2 linked regions of the Drosophila melanogaster genome follow. The protein of the gene in region 1 interacts with the protein of each later gene in a pairwise test. Each region holds a gene or a part of one and is shown in the gene's direction. Other genes may lie near its edges.

Region 1 (6,770 bases):
TGAGCTGTGGACCCTGGAGCTGGGCAATGCCATATTCCGAGCATCCATGTCGCTCGCTCGATTCGAAAGCATTTCCGAGTGTCTGGCGGGAAATTGCGGCTGGTCCGAGGGCCAAAAGCTCTGGCAGCGCCTTATAATCAATTGCAGATCCTACTACGGCTGCAGCAGTTGGTTGACCGTGGATGAGACATTCTGCGCGGTGGCCAAGTCACGGATGACCCTCTGCTGTGATGCCAGGACACTGTACATGGCCAATGCAGTGGTAAGCAGAAACCAGAGATGTCCGGACAAGGATGTAGAACAACTGATCTGCGATTTCAAGACCACGGGAAGAAATGTAACGCTGGGATCACGGTATCTAAACTTGACGCAGTGCGAGCAGTTGGCGCAGCGGCAAATAAGCTCGTTGGGTAAGCTGGAGGCCAATTCGCCACATTGGCCGCGGCAGTGGCCCACAGAATCACCCTTGTTTGGTGGCAGCTCAAAACTCATTCCGCTCGATGGCGACGCAGTCTTCTGCTGCGGTCTTAGCTCCCAAGTAGATGCAGTCCAGGCATATGAGCAAACCTCAGAAGCCTGTCAGCAGTTTTACGAACACTCCCAGCGCTTCAGCACAGCCCACGCTACGCCCGCACCCTTGAAAAAGCAGATCAATCCTTTTCTGCAACTACTTCACTTTGTGCTCAACGCGGCTGCCGTGAATGCATGGATCCTGTTACGACTTTCGCCCAAAGGCGATGCCGCTATGGATCAGCGCGACTTCCAGAGACAGTTGGGACTCTTCCTCACACAGCAGAGATTACAGCGACGCCTTCAGCGAAGATCCACCAGCACTTCGCTCGTGATGCGACTGCAAATCTGCGAAATCCTGGGCCAATCCAGTCAGCGGCTGCTCAGTGAGGCGACCGGCGAGGCGAAACTAACGCACAGCGTAGGCGTGCTAACACCCGACAAGATGAGCCTGCCCTTGGGCATTAATTTGGCTAGTCGGTACGGAGAGAAGCATCGCAGGTGCAAGCCCTGCGCTCGAAATAAGCGTGGCACTAAATCGCGGACGCGGTGCCAACAGTGCTTGCAACATCGATGCGGCAACCACTTGATATCCCGCTGCTACGAATGCGTCGGCATTTTGCCTGGCCAACTGCCCGAGGGCAACATGGTGGATGAAGGAGCCACCTGAAGATGGATATTAAATAACATTTATTGAAGAGACACTACATTCCTTGTGGGGGCTTGCAATATGGGGATGCTTGCAATATTGCTCAATGGTGCAAACACTTGTGCTGTAACTACGATGACAACGGCTTAACGATGGAAACTGGGGACTAGAACTTGTACTGGAAGGACTTGGGTGCCTTGTACTTGCTGGCCATTCCCGAAGAGTCCACAGGATCGCTCTGGTCGAGGAACAGACTGAGGAACTGTTCGTTCTGCAGCTCATTTAGCGGCATCTCTAATTCACTGCAGGATTTGACAATCTCAGCGCAGGCTCGCAGATCCTTGCGCATATCTAAAAACGAAACGGGAGTTACATAATATTCGGTTGTGTTGCACAGACTCACATTGATAGTTAAAGAGCAAGCTGAGGCAGCTGGAGCAGGCCAAACGCTGCTGGTGCTGCAAGAACGCCTCGATTAGCCGATGCACCGCATCAACATTGTTACGGGCCAGAAATGAAGAGCACAAAGAACTGGCTCTGCAAGGAAGGTTACATTGGGATTCAAATTTCGGGTTTTTAAAGAAATTAAAGCGACTTACCTCCTCTCCACTAGCTCTTGCAGCTCCTTGTAGTGCTCAAACAGTTCCGAAGCCGATTTTTGATCGCAAAACCAATCGCTAGCGAAGCATTGCTTCCACACACAGGCCACCACAAAGATGTCCTTGTGCTCGCGGTGAATGGCACGCGCTACCTCCAGCAGCGACACTAGCACCGCCTCACTCTTCTGGGCCAGAGTCTCCTCGGAAATGGTGCGGAATGCGGAGCGCGCCATCCGCCTGCCCTCCTCCGAAGTCATGCTTACCCCGTAACCGCGATGTAGCGTCATCAGGGCCACGTCGGCGTTACCATTGTTCCACAGGGCGATGGCGCGGAAGGGCGCCAGATCCGCGTAGGTCTGTGAGAACGGGTGCTCCAGCTGCCGACAGGTCTCCGCCAGTGCCTCCAACTGCTGGAGCTTGCGCTGCGCGCTCAAATACTTTAGACAGGACACGAAGACCTCGTTGGAGGGCAACAGGTTGCAGCGGATGCACTGACGTATCAGGTAGAGAAAGTCCAGCTTGTTCTTGATCTCCAACGTGGCCATCAGCAGGTTGTCCAGCTGCGCCTGCGACAGGGATCTGATATCCAGTCCCAGTTGGGGGGAGCGCAGCGCCTTCAGATCACTCATCATGCCCTTGGACATAAGACCCACGTTCTGGCTAAAGCTGGTACTACCAGCCTTTCGCTGCGTTCCCACATTGCAATTGGCGTCCGCCTCCAGATTTCCGGACGATGGCCTCTTTATCAGGCTATCGCGCAGCTCCTCCCACTTTTGGGTCTTTCTGGTCACCAAGTCGTTGGTGAAACAGTCCATGGGATCGAGATGTGTGGACTTCCGACGTTGCCGCTGCGTTCCCGGCCACAAGAAGGCCGAGATGTAGTTTTGGAAACGCTGCAGGCCCTTGGGTGAACCGGGTGCTCCGGCCACCGTGGTGGTGCCGCTGCTGGTCAATCGCGTCAGCATGGCCATGACTTGGGGTCACCTCCGCGTCCTCCGCTCTTCTAGACACGCCTCCTTTGCCCCGTTTTTGTCTCGGATTGTATAAGTTGTGTATATTTTTTGTTTTCAACAGTGTTACCGTCGCTGATCCGTGTGAAAATGCCATCGAGGAATACCATTATTACGAATCATAGCAAGTTGTTACTGAAATAAACTCAGATACTTTGTTTCACAAATGTTTAAAAATGGAATGCTGCATATAATTACAAACTTACTTTTAAGTAGAGTCATTTAAAAATCCATAAATTTGTATGTAAATTTAAAGTTACCCCTACGTGGCAGCTCCTGTTGCCTATAGTTGGCAACGCGAGTTCACCCAATCCAGCAGTCCGGCAACGCTTCCAGTTAGCCAAAAATTGATTTCATTTGCAAGAAAACTTTAAAACGCAAATGAAATGGCCAGCGATATTCCACCTTCAGCCATCCGTATTTGGATGGACAAGCTGAAAAAGGGCGTTGGGCAGCCGGCGACAGTCCTAGAGCGTTCCCTGCTCAATTTAATGAGTGCAGGTAAGTGAACCATTGAATGTCCAATCCATAACGTTTGTCTCAAACATCTAAAAATCCAACTTCAGAAGCAGCCAGTTTATCGGTGAAAAATGCCACGGAGCGAGGCATACTGGTGGCCAGAGCAGGCGGCGGACGGTCCAAGCGTCTGGCCCTCGCCTTTTGTCAAAAAGTAAGCCGGCTGCCCAGCTCACCAATTGATCCGTTCTGCTTCGAGTGCCATTTGCCCGGAGCCGTTAAGAAATGCATATCCTGCCATCGCTCCTTCCACGAGAATTGCCAGCGACAGGACCCGGAGAAGCCCAATTATTCAGTGCCCTCGGACAAGGGCCAACCTTACCAGTTTCCCGTCAACGAATTGGACAATCAGCCCCTGAATAACACTCAGAACTTGGAGACTCCCCAAACGCCAACGCCCCTGCTCGATCATAATAGCAACATCAATCAGACTTTGCTAGCCACTACGGATTTCCTGAAGCACGAGAACATCGAGTGGGACGACGACGTCTTCTTTGTGTGCGAACAAAAGGGCGCGCGCCAGCGAAAGCTGCCCAGGATCAAGGACGAACTACAAAGCAGTTTGGATAGCGATGAGGGAAGCGATCTGGAGCGCTGCACCCACTGCCGTTTGCTCGCCCTGGCCGCTCTCCACAACCCACCGCAACTCGACAAGCAAGAGCTGGGCTGCCTATTGAAGTACTCCTGGGACCAGCATCACTCCTGGATCTCCATGGATGTGGCCAAGTACATGGCCAAGCATTGGAACGAACGCGACAAGGCGCTGGTTAAGCGGCTACTCTTCAAGACAAAGATTTTGGGTCTGGGCGACATCGAGCGCAACATAGCGGCGGCGAAGTATACGTACCTAACAGAATTCCTAATGGATCTGCTCGATCTGCAGCACAACATGGCCGTGTTCTTTGGGCAAAAGAGCGTTGAGTACAATGCCACCAAGTGGCTGATGAGAGATGTGACGCACGACATTCGCGAAATCCGTCGTTGCCCCGACTGCTATAGGTATTCCAACGAGGCCAGCCTGTCGGATCTCTGGTTCGCCAAGCCATGTCTTCAGCGGCACGAGTTGGTATTTGCCAAGCAGGTGGGCTCACCACCGTGGCCTGCAAAGGTACGTACGATATTATCATTACTATGTAATATATACACATAAATATAATTTCTTTACCAGGTGATGAGCGTCTCCAAGCGTCAGCCCATCAAGTACGACGTCCGCTTCTTCGGTGGCACTCATTCCCGGGCCCTCATCTCAGAACGTGATATTACACCCATCGAGTCGGACATTCAGTCGCATATCAAACCACGGAACTCCCGAGCTCTGAGCGCTGCGATAAAAGAACTGCAGTGTCACATGATGTTGTCCCACTATTCCGCCTCGCTATTCGGCTTCCATGCAGATCCCACCGTTGCCGAGAATCTCATTAAGGTGGCTCTATCCCACTGCACGGAGTCAACGGAAACGAGTGCGTCCGGCAAACGAGGACGCCCGCCGACTCCAGCCACTCCCGGCGCTGCAAAGAATCGACGGCTTAATAACACCACTTCGAATACCTCATCGCCGGTGCCCATTCGTGGGATTCCTGACTCCGTAGCATATGATAGTCTAACCGCCGAAATACTGCAGGCGCATAACGATCTGCTAAATTGCCGAAGAGAGCTCTCGGCCACGCAAAGGAAGCTGGCCGAAGTGAAAAGGAAGCAATGGTGCTACCATTGCCTGGATGAGGCCGTTTTTAACTGCTGCTTTACTGCGTCCTACTGCAGCGTTGAATGCCAGCGACGTGATAAGAGACGCCACCAAGCATCCTGCAAAGTTACTCATTAAATTAGGACTACAGACGAAATTGGAAACTATGTCCAAAGTGATAACATCTCGTTTGTTACCATCCTTTTGTATCAAATGTATCCGTTCTTAAGATATGCATCAATATTTTCAGAAGATAAAGAATGTTAAACTTGTATTAATGAAAAATATTATCAATGAGATATTTGAAAATGGCGCCTTTTCCGTTCTTATGATGGGCAGCACTGTTTCCGCTAGGTGTCGCCACCTGATCATATTAATCCATATTCATATTACGTTTATAAAAAATCAGAAAAAACGTACAATACTTTAAAAGTGTGGGCGTGGAACTTACTTGTACTTGTTACTAACAATATAAAAACTTGTTTCCTACCAAAAAATATATACATATTTTATAAGAATGGGTATTATTTCGTGCCAGCTGTATTCATAATAATAAACACAAATTATTGTTCATCCACAATATTTTCGTGGCATACTTAAATAATTACAATTGAAACACATGGAAAACTTTAATGACAGTTTCTTTCTCGATAAAACCAATCGATTTTGAATAGTATCTCATTAAATTCATGGTTTTTAACTGCTCTAATTTTAAATGGTTTTATTCGATTTATCAATATTTAAACCATGAGCAAGATCTGTTTTCCCGCAGTCGTCTTGCACAGCCATACTTATAAAAAAGGTTCCCAATTTATCTATTTAAAAAAGTGCGCAAGAAACATATACCAAATAAGCGAATCACTAAAGTGAATAGTTAAGTTTATACCTTAAAAAGGAAACAAGAAAGCAAGTCAAAAGTATTATTATTTTAAAAAGAATCGAAGGCCTTTGTACTGTGTATAACTAAAAGGAAATAATGGCAATCAAGCTGAAATTGTGCGTCGCTTTTCAGTTGATTTGTATTTATTATCTCACAGAGGTAACGAATTATTATAACTGAAATGTCATATTTTAAAAGCTTCTTTTAGGTTTATTCCCTAGTGGAATTTACAAACGTACAGTGCGAGACCTTGGATAAGGACTTTTCCCTATTTGAATATTGCTATCTTTAATCTGTGAACCGATCTTACAAATATGTTTCCCTCAAAGTTAAACTACTAAAGATACCCGTAACCAAAATTAAGGTATAATTTAGTAAACTTATATTTATACCTAAGCGATTATAATAAGTTACTGTTTTTTAATTCAGGTGCAATTTGGTCTCTATAAACGTTTGAATGGCTATAAGCCTTTTCTCTACAATATGACTCTTGACGGGTGCAGATTTCTAAAATCTAGAAATCCCAATCCGATTGCTCTGTATTTTTACAATCTCTTTAAAGATTATTCCAACATAAACCACACCTGTCCTTATAACGTAAGTATACCCGAAGTTGTTAAAGTGAATATTCATATTACATTCATTTCAGCATGATCTTGTGCTGGATGAAATGTCATATCATAGTATAAATTACAAGCTCACCGAAATACTACCCTTTCCGGAGGGAAATTATAAGCTTGAAGTGCATTGGATAGCCTACGATATTGATCGCGCTATAACTACGTTTTATTTCGCATTTTCTTAATAAGAAAAGGCTATCACAAATCAATTAACAAGACATCAAAAAATAAAGTAATTTACAAGACGAGCTTAAGAAATAATGTAAATGTAAAACAAACTTTGTAAAACTGTTAAATTATTA
Region 2 (8,063 bases), on another chromosome or scaffold:
AACACATTCCTGTGTTTATAATCTTGTAAAAATTTATTAATTTCAATGCGTCAGTTATGTTGGCAATGTGTCAAAGTCGTCACCAACTGAAACGATCGGAACGTGCTCCAAATTAACTTCAATCGGGTTGTCACATAGCCTATTTCGTTTTGCAAATATATTCCAATCCATCACCTGCACGGCGTGCAGACTTTCCGCCTCGTTATGATGCCGCAACACCATGGACTCCTTCAAAGGTAACAACAATTAAGATTTACAACGAAAAATATTTTGTTTAGGGTCAGCATACCTTAATTTTCTCCCACTTGTCATCAACATCTTGCAGCCAGCTGAGGAGCAAACGTCCATTAAAGCGGCAACGAGCACTCTTTTCCTTTTCATCCTGCTCCGGTGTGATCATGTTGTAGACCTCGTCGTCCTTCAAATACGTGCAAACGGAATAGGGCGCCGGCTGTCCAGATATGCTCCTGGCCGCCTTCGAGTGAACGCGTATTATCTCCTGCTCAACGTTCATGCATAGTTTCTCCCGCTCCACGGTGTGCGCTTCGATCAGATCTCGCCTGGCCTTCTCCTGATCCTGATAGATCCTCTCCATGGCCTGCGGAACAGTGCGTGGAATATCCGGAACTGAGATCGTCGCATTGCGTCTTAATAAGTAGGATTTCTTTGTCAGCAGATACTCGTTGTAACCTTGCGGAGGTCTTGGCTTCACCGGATACAAGCTCTTCCACTTCTTTTCGATCTGACGACGGATGCTCAAGAACATCTGGAAGCCATTGGTGAAGGGATGGTCATGGGGGTGAGATTCTTCGGAGTTGACACCGGAATCCGCCGCATTTGAGTTCTTCGAACTGTCGTCGGTGTTTTTCGGTCGAATCTTTCGCTTCCGTGGATGGAGTTCCACGTTCGAGGGATTTATGTCCTTGGACGAGGATGTCGACGACGTCGACGGGCTTGGAACATTGGTGATTGCCTCCTGGTCAAACTGGTGGCCCTGCGGGATCGGACTAGATGTCATGTTGCTATAGGAGAGCTTCACATCTGCAGGATCGTTGGCATGATTCGATGACGCTGGCGATGGAGAGCTGCTCTGCATTTGCGGGGAGGAGTTATTGGAACTGCGCTCCACACTGGTCACTCCAGTGCGATGAGAGCTTCGCAGGACCCTCAGGTTCTTTTCGTCATTGAAGAGCTTTATATTCTTGTCATCGAGGGCTGTGGAGCAAATGCTATTGCTCTTCTGTGGACTTTCGTGCGGGCTAATAGATTGATTGGTTATGACGGTGTCAATGGAATCGCTATTGGAGCTGACCACATACGGCAGGGCGGCATTGCGAGAGGCAGTCACCTTGCCAGTTCGAAGCACATTGCCCTCAGTGTCGATTGAGCAGTTCTGCTGCGGAATCACAATTTTTAATGGCGGCACTTTGAGTCCTCCGTTGTATAGGCTGTCGTTACTCTTGTAATCATCGCTGCACTCCGTTTCGTTCTCAATATCTACATTCTTACTAGTCTCCGCCGGCTCCTTTTCGGCATTGGAAGCGCTGCTTTTGTTTCCTGACGGGGATCCCTTCGTTGCAGCTAGCTTGGAGCTTTTCTCCACGCGCGATGTGAGCTTCAGGGAGGCCCCCTTCACGTCCTTTCCATGCTCCGAATCCTTGCGCTTCTTTTTCTTTACGTCCTCGCCAGATTCCTCGTAGTCCTCCTCTATGTCTGAGTAGCAGCGCTTGGCAGCCGAAGTTCCCTGATGATTCGTATCGCTGGATTTACCATCGTTGCTGCTCTCCTCCGCTGAAGATTTGTCTTTCGTGTCCAGGACCTCTTGCTTCTCATTCAGGCTGCCCTCGTCAGTCTCTGCGTCTCCTTTCTTGCATTCATTCTTCTTTAAGGTGGTGCGGGATGAATCTGCAAGAACGAGAATCTTATACATTACATTTGACGGCTGTGTGATTTAGTTTGGAAGATCATGTAGGAAGTAAAATGAAAGCTTATTGTCTATCGGATATCTTTTCGGGTGGAATTTGTAGTTATGTTTGAAGGAAAACCAACTAAAATGATTTTGTGTGAAAACTAAGAACTTAAGCATCGTTAAATGAGTTGTTTTTAATTTTGGTTTCTAAAGTATTAGCTCGGATAAGAGACAGGGTTTTTTTGACATCTTTACACATATTTCTTCAATAATAATTGGTATCTTCATTTGAATCAGTTAAATGACAATTTATCCGCAATCGAAACCAGTTTCTCGGATACTTTTACATTATTCCTGACTCTCAGATACATTTATGTATGTACATACGTAGATATGTACATGCATAGATGTATATGCGTGTAAGTATGTACGCAGCGAAGTACCCACGATGTAAATTGAAATTCAAGCCGACGAGCAAAAGTTCTAAGCTTTGTGACTGAACTATAAAATCCACTTGAATCATGTGAAAAGTAGACATTCACTTAATTATTTTGCTTATTTACCTGTCGACGAGTTGGCTGTCATTTGGATGAGCAGAGCCATTTGCTGCCTCTCCGACATTGGCGTGTTTGAGTTCGATCTGGGTTGGGTAGCTCCTGTATTAAATCCTATCCCCTTCGGTCTTGGGGGTGGCATACTCTTTTGTTCAGTTTTAGACGGTAAAAATTAAAATATAGAACAAAAACGGAGACTTGAAAAAGTCTTGCAAAATTTATTACAAAAAGAATAGTGCGACCGTATCGTGAATACAAAAATATGCCAGCTTGCTAATATAATAACGATGTTTTCAAATCCATTAAGTTAACAACAAATTAATTTATATATTATGTGTACAAATTTCAAGATACACCTTTAATTAGTTCCAAAAATTAAATTTTTTATTGAACTAAATCAATACCTGCTCCACCAAGGTATGTGCGTTTGTTGACCTCCAACATGTTATAGATGCTTACAAATAGCATGTTGCGCATTATTACTTTTAACTACTACTTTATTTATACTACATCTTAGCTATTATACGAAGTCTTATTGTTAGTCTACCCGATTTTTTCAGGAATTTTCATTTCTTTAGTTAGTGTTTCGATTCCACTGCGTTCTCCTCCCGACAGTGTGACCACTACTGCACAGTTGAAGAAAATCCTAGCTTGTCAAACACAATTCAACGCCCCGGCTACGGTCACACTCAGTTTTATTTTAGAAGTTTTGCAGTGTAAGATATTTTTATAGCAAATCTACGCACTATTTCGCTTATTTGAGGAGTTTGCAGAGCAAAACCGCTGGTAATAAGTTACAATATTTGAATGCACTGCGCGATAACTTGCATAATCATTTCCAACTGGATTTCGAACGACAAAATCCATTCACCCACACACAAACACATCTACTTGAGCTTATCTGTGTATGTACATATGTTGCACATAAATATAAGTGACTGCCACTTGAAGAAAAGTTTTTTACTGGAAAATATGATTCGTTTTACATAAATAATCAAGTCTAGTTGGAAAAGTGCTCGGCGGCAGCTCGTGTGGCAAAGTAAACACAAATGGAGGCCTAAGGCCTAAGTAATCGTTTAGCATGATAAATACTAAATACAATCTCTTAATGCCACTAACTTTTATGTTTAAGTGTTCATAGATATTATGTACAAAAAGTGACTCACTTTTTAATACACTGGAATTAGTGAGCTGGGGTGTTGTAACCCCATTTGCAATATTTATAATCTGACTATTCCAATCACAATATTTGGCGATCTTGATTAAGAATAAAGCTATTTTCTCGAAAATCAACTTACAATCTCATTTTACGCAATCTAGATTTCCGATTCGAAAGGCAAATGACTAAAGAAAACTATAATTTTGAATATGTTAGGGTACTAATAGCTTCGGTCTCTAAAAAACTATACAATTTATTTTAGTTGATGTAAGCAGCTACTTTTGCCATTCGTTTTTTGTTTATTGCATGACGCCAAGTGTAATTAACTTTCGCCCATAATTATAACCATAATAAACGAACTAAATGGCCTTAAACACTTTTTAACGAAGTGTCATGTTTATGTAAATCACACCGGCAATGTTGATAAATAATAAATAAAAGAAAGTTTTCAAAGCACAGTATTCGATATAAATCGAATATGCTTCCACCATTAGTTTCCAATTAGAAAACATAATTGAATGAACTGGAATTTGTTTGGCTTAAAAGTAAATTGAAGTTAACTTAATCCAGAAAGTTGATCCCTTACTTTTAATAGTTTCTGTAGTTTCTAAAAGTTATTGTTACAGCGAATGTAATAGCGCGGGCATTTTCGATTATCAACCACCTTTTTTAACGTGCATGCGCACTGCGAATTTTCTTTTTCATCGTATTGATTAACGCAGCTAGAATCGTTTAATATACGGTTAAAATGATTGTCTCCAAAGCTATCAAATCATACAGGATGTAAAACACATCAAATACCTCGATTAACACCTTTTAATTTTGATATCATTCATGTTGTTACACTTTCAGATGTCAGAGGGTTGTAGGAGCACTTACTAATCTGTATTTTGTATGTGTTTTGTAGACAGAAAATTGAGAAAATCGGCAAAATGACGCAAATGTCGCAGGACGAAATCATAACCAATACGAAAACAGTCCTTCAAGGCCTCGAAGCCTTGCGAGTGGAGCATGTTTCGATTATGAACGGAATCGCCGAGGTGCAGAAGGACAATGAAAAGTCGGACATGCTGCGAAAGAACATCGAGAACATCGAACTGGGCCTCAGCGAGGCCCAGGTGATGATGGCCCTGACATCCCATCTGCAGAACATCGAGGCCGAGAAGCACAAGCTTAAGACACAGGTGCGCCGCCTCCACCAGGAGAACGCCTGGCTTCGCGACGAGCTGGCCAACACTCAGCAAAAGTTCCAGGCATCCGAGCAGCTGGTGGCCCAACTAGAGGAGGAGAAGAAGCACCTGGAGTTCATGGCGTCCGTGAAGAAGTACGACGAGAATCAGGAGCAGGACGACGCTTGCGACAAGTCCCGCACCGATCCCGTGGTCGAGCTATTCCCGGACGAGGAAAACGAGGACAGACACAACATGTCGCCCACTCCGCCCAGCCAGTTCGCCAACCAGACTTCCGGCTACGAGATTCCAGCGCGTCTCCGTACTCTGCACAACCTGGTCATTCAGTATGCATCGCAGGGAAGGTAAGTCATCATCCATGCATTTTATTTTACTCGTGAGCACTAAAGAAACCCCTTACCTACAACATCGTTATCTATCAATTCATCATTAACTATAATAGCCTAATATATTTCTAGATACGAGGTAGCCGTTCCCCTCTGCAAGCAAGCATTGGAAGATCTCGAAAGGACAAGTGGTCACGACCATCCCGATGTAGCAACCATGCTGAACATTTTGGCTCTCGTGTACCGCGATCAGGTGCGTCTACGCTTTGATTAACTTAATTTATACAATCGTTAATTAACAACATCTCGTGCCATACAGAACAAGTATAAGGAGGCCGCCAATTTACTCAACGACGCTCTGTCGATTCGAGGAAAGACACTGGGCGAGAACCATCCAGCCGTGGCGGCCACGTTGAACAACTTGGCCGTCCTCTATGGCAAACGTGGCAAGTACAAAGATGCCGAGCCACTGTGCAAGCGTGCCTTGGAGATCCGAGAGAAAGTCCTGGGAAAGGATCATCCCGATGTTGCCAAGCAACTTAACAATCTCGCCCTGCTCTGCCAGAATCAGGGCAAATACGACGAGGTTGAGAAGTACTACCAGCGAGCTCTCGACATCTACGAATCAAAGTTGGGTCCCGATGATCCCAACGTGGCCAAGACAAAGAATAATCTGGCCGGCTGCTATCTGAAGCAAGGTAGATACACCGAAGCTGAAATCCTCTATAAGCAGGTCTTGACGCGAGCCCACGAACGTGAGTTTGGAGCCATCGACAGCAAAAACAAGCCCATTTGGCAGGTAATGTTGTGTTGTTGTGCTGTTATGCCTGGTAAATACTCAAAAGTTCCTTTTCTTACTACAATTTTCAGGTGGCTGAGGAGCGTGAGGAGCACAAATTCGATAACAGGGAGAACACTCCATATGGCGAGTACGGCGGTTGGCATAAGGCCGCTAAAGTGGATTCGCCCACGGTCACAACCACTCTAAAAAATCTGGGAGCACTTTACCGACGTCAAGGCATGTTTGAAGCGGCCGAAACCCTGGAAGACTGTGCAATGCGGAGTAAAAAAGAAGCCTACGATCTAGCTAAACAAACGAAGCTCTCACAATTGCTAACGTCAAACGAAAAGCGACGATCGAAGGCAATTAAAGAGGATTTGGATTTCTCTGAGGAGGTGAGTTTCAAAATCGAATCACTTAACTTAATTAACTTAAATTAATCATTCCCATTTATTCTTGCAGAAGAATGCGAAACCATAAAAATATTATTTGTTCATCGCCCACAACGGAATCTTTAAGTTTATGATTGAAAGCTAACAGCAAACACACACTTTATTTATTCATTCCTTAATATACATAAGCTCTCAAGCATACATTAGCAAATAAACAACGTTTTATACCTTGTTATTTCAAAAAATATGTACCGCTTTTAATAATAAACCAAATATATTTAACATAATCCTGTTTGTATTTAAACCTTCAAAACTAAACCAAAAATACGGACCAGATATAGCACATTACAGTGGAATCAGCTTAACATTTATTATTGATAACAAACAGTACGATTAGTTTGCCTACGATAACTGAGTATCAGTTAGTCGCTATCATTGTCATTTAAAATCGAGGAAACTATGCCTGCAAACTGCTCAGCCCGATCCAGAAATTGTTCCCGAGTGAGACTCGTATCGTTACGTAGATTTTGCGCCGTGAGGAGTAAGTTTTCAAAGTCCTTCAGCTGACTATCCAGCTCGTCGGCACTGATTTCCTCCTTGTGATCTGCAAATCAATAGGACGAAATGGATTATTGGTTTCTCAACTCAAATCCTGGGCACTAACCAGAACCAAACTTGACATTGGACCAAACTACGTTTTTCAAACCCTCCACAACTTCCTCGTAGTCCTTTTCAGCTTCATCTGGGTCACTCTCAACATTGCTTCTCAATGTTATGATGTCAAAAAGGAAATTCGTTTTCTCCTTAATTTCTCCAAAGGACAATCCACCTTCTTCTGAAGTGGAAGAGGTTAGCAGAAAGCCCAGCTGAATCTGTTCATTCTTCGCTAACGTCTTGGGAATAGTGTCGATAAAGGAGGTCTGCAAGTAATTGTAATATAATAGATATACTATTATTGCTTTTATAAACACTTACGTCTTGTGAATCAAAGTAAATAATCAACGCCTCGGTTGCTTGAAGAATTTTCTCCGGCACAGCTTCCAGTTTTCCAGAAAATGGAATTAAGTTGATAGAAGTGTTATAGTACTTGGTTTTAATGATGCACTTATAACAATTAAGTGAGCACTCCGTTGATGTTGATTCCTTCGATTGATTCACTTCAGATAAAATATCTGCAACAAAATGGAACGTATAAACGTAGTAGTAAACGTATTTATGAATGGGTTTTTTTTTTAACAATCCTTTATACTCTTATAAAAATGCATTGTATGATTAGTATGCTGTATTCATACCAACAGAATAAAAACATTTAATTCGCCTGTATTACTCATAAATTTCAAATAAACAAAGCTGCAACAACGTGAAAATACTGGGACAACAAAAATAGGGCCTTTGAAGAACACTCTGTACTTTTTCAAGTAACTAATCTTACTTTCGACTATTTCCAGTGCAGGAACTGCTCCATAAGATAAAACAAGTACTACTGGATCCATTATATTGCAATTTCTTTATTTATTTCAGTCAACAAAAACAAAAGCTATGCACCAGTGTGACCAAGCTTCGAGAACGAAAAGTTCTGAACTCCAAATGAATAAAGCTTTGCTTTTACCGGCACTTTTTTAAAATGTTTTTTTTTTTTTAATAATTTACATATATATTAAAAAGGAGGGAACGCTTTATTTCAGTTTCCCGGCTATAGGATACCCCTTACTCAGCTGGTACGAAAGAAGAAAAGACTATTTTTTTAGATAG

What was found.
Region 2: the proteins of CG8569 (region 1) and Klc interact in a two-hybrid assay, tested with the Drosophila melanogaster proteins (2 studies listed by BioGRID).

The regions. Positions count from the first base shown.
Region 1 is NT_033778.4:12,516,079-12,522,848, forward strand, and holds CG8569 (uncharacterized protein), read left to right. Parts: upstream 1-3,087; 5' UTR 3,088-3,154; coding exon 3,155-3,269; intron 3,270-3,334; coding exon 3,335-4,392; intron 4,393-4,452; coding exon 4,453-5,106; 3' UTR 5,107-5,546; downstream 5,547-6,770. Other genes in the region: CG13151 (uncharacterized protein), read left to right, coding at 1-1,180; CG8818 (uncharacterized protein), read right to left, coding at 1,326-1,510, 1,563-1,696, 1,759-2,729.
Region 2 is NT_037436.4:12,745,149-12,753,211, reverse strand, and holds Klc (kinesin light chain), read left to right. Parts: upstream 1-3,155; 5' UTR 3,156-3,249; intron 3,250-3,372; exon of another isoform or gene 3,373-3,502; intron 3,503-4,313; exon of another isoform or gene 4,314-4,405; intron 4,406-4,529; 5' UTR 4,530-4,554; coding exon 4,555-5,156; intron 5,157-5,270; coding exon 5,271-5,391; intron 5,392-5,457; coding exon 5,458-5,937; intron 5,938-6,008; coding exon 6,009-6,314; intron 6,315-6,381; coding exon 6,382-6,399; 3' UTR 6,400-6,596; downstream 6,597-8,063. Other genes in the region: CG10984 (uncharacterized protein), read right to left, coding at 55-228, 290-1,905, 2,357-2,410, 2,473-2,605; CG32109 (uncharacterized protein), read right to left, coding at 6,734-6,915, 6,976-7,231, 7,287-7,483, 7,744-7,804. UniProt on the Drosophila melanogaster protein: Kinesin is a microtubule-associated force-producing protein that may play a role in organelle transport. The light chain may function in coupling of cargo to the heavy chain or in the modulation of its ATPase activity.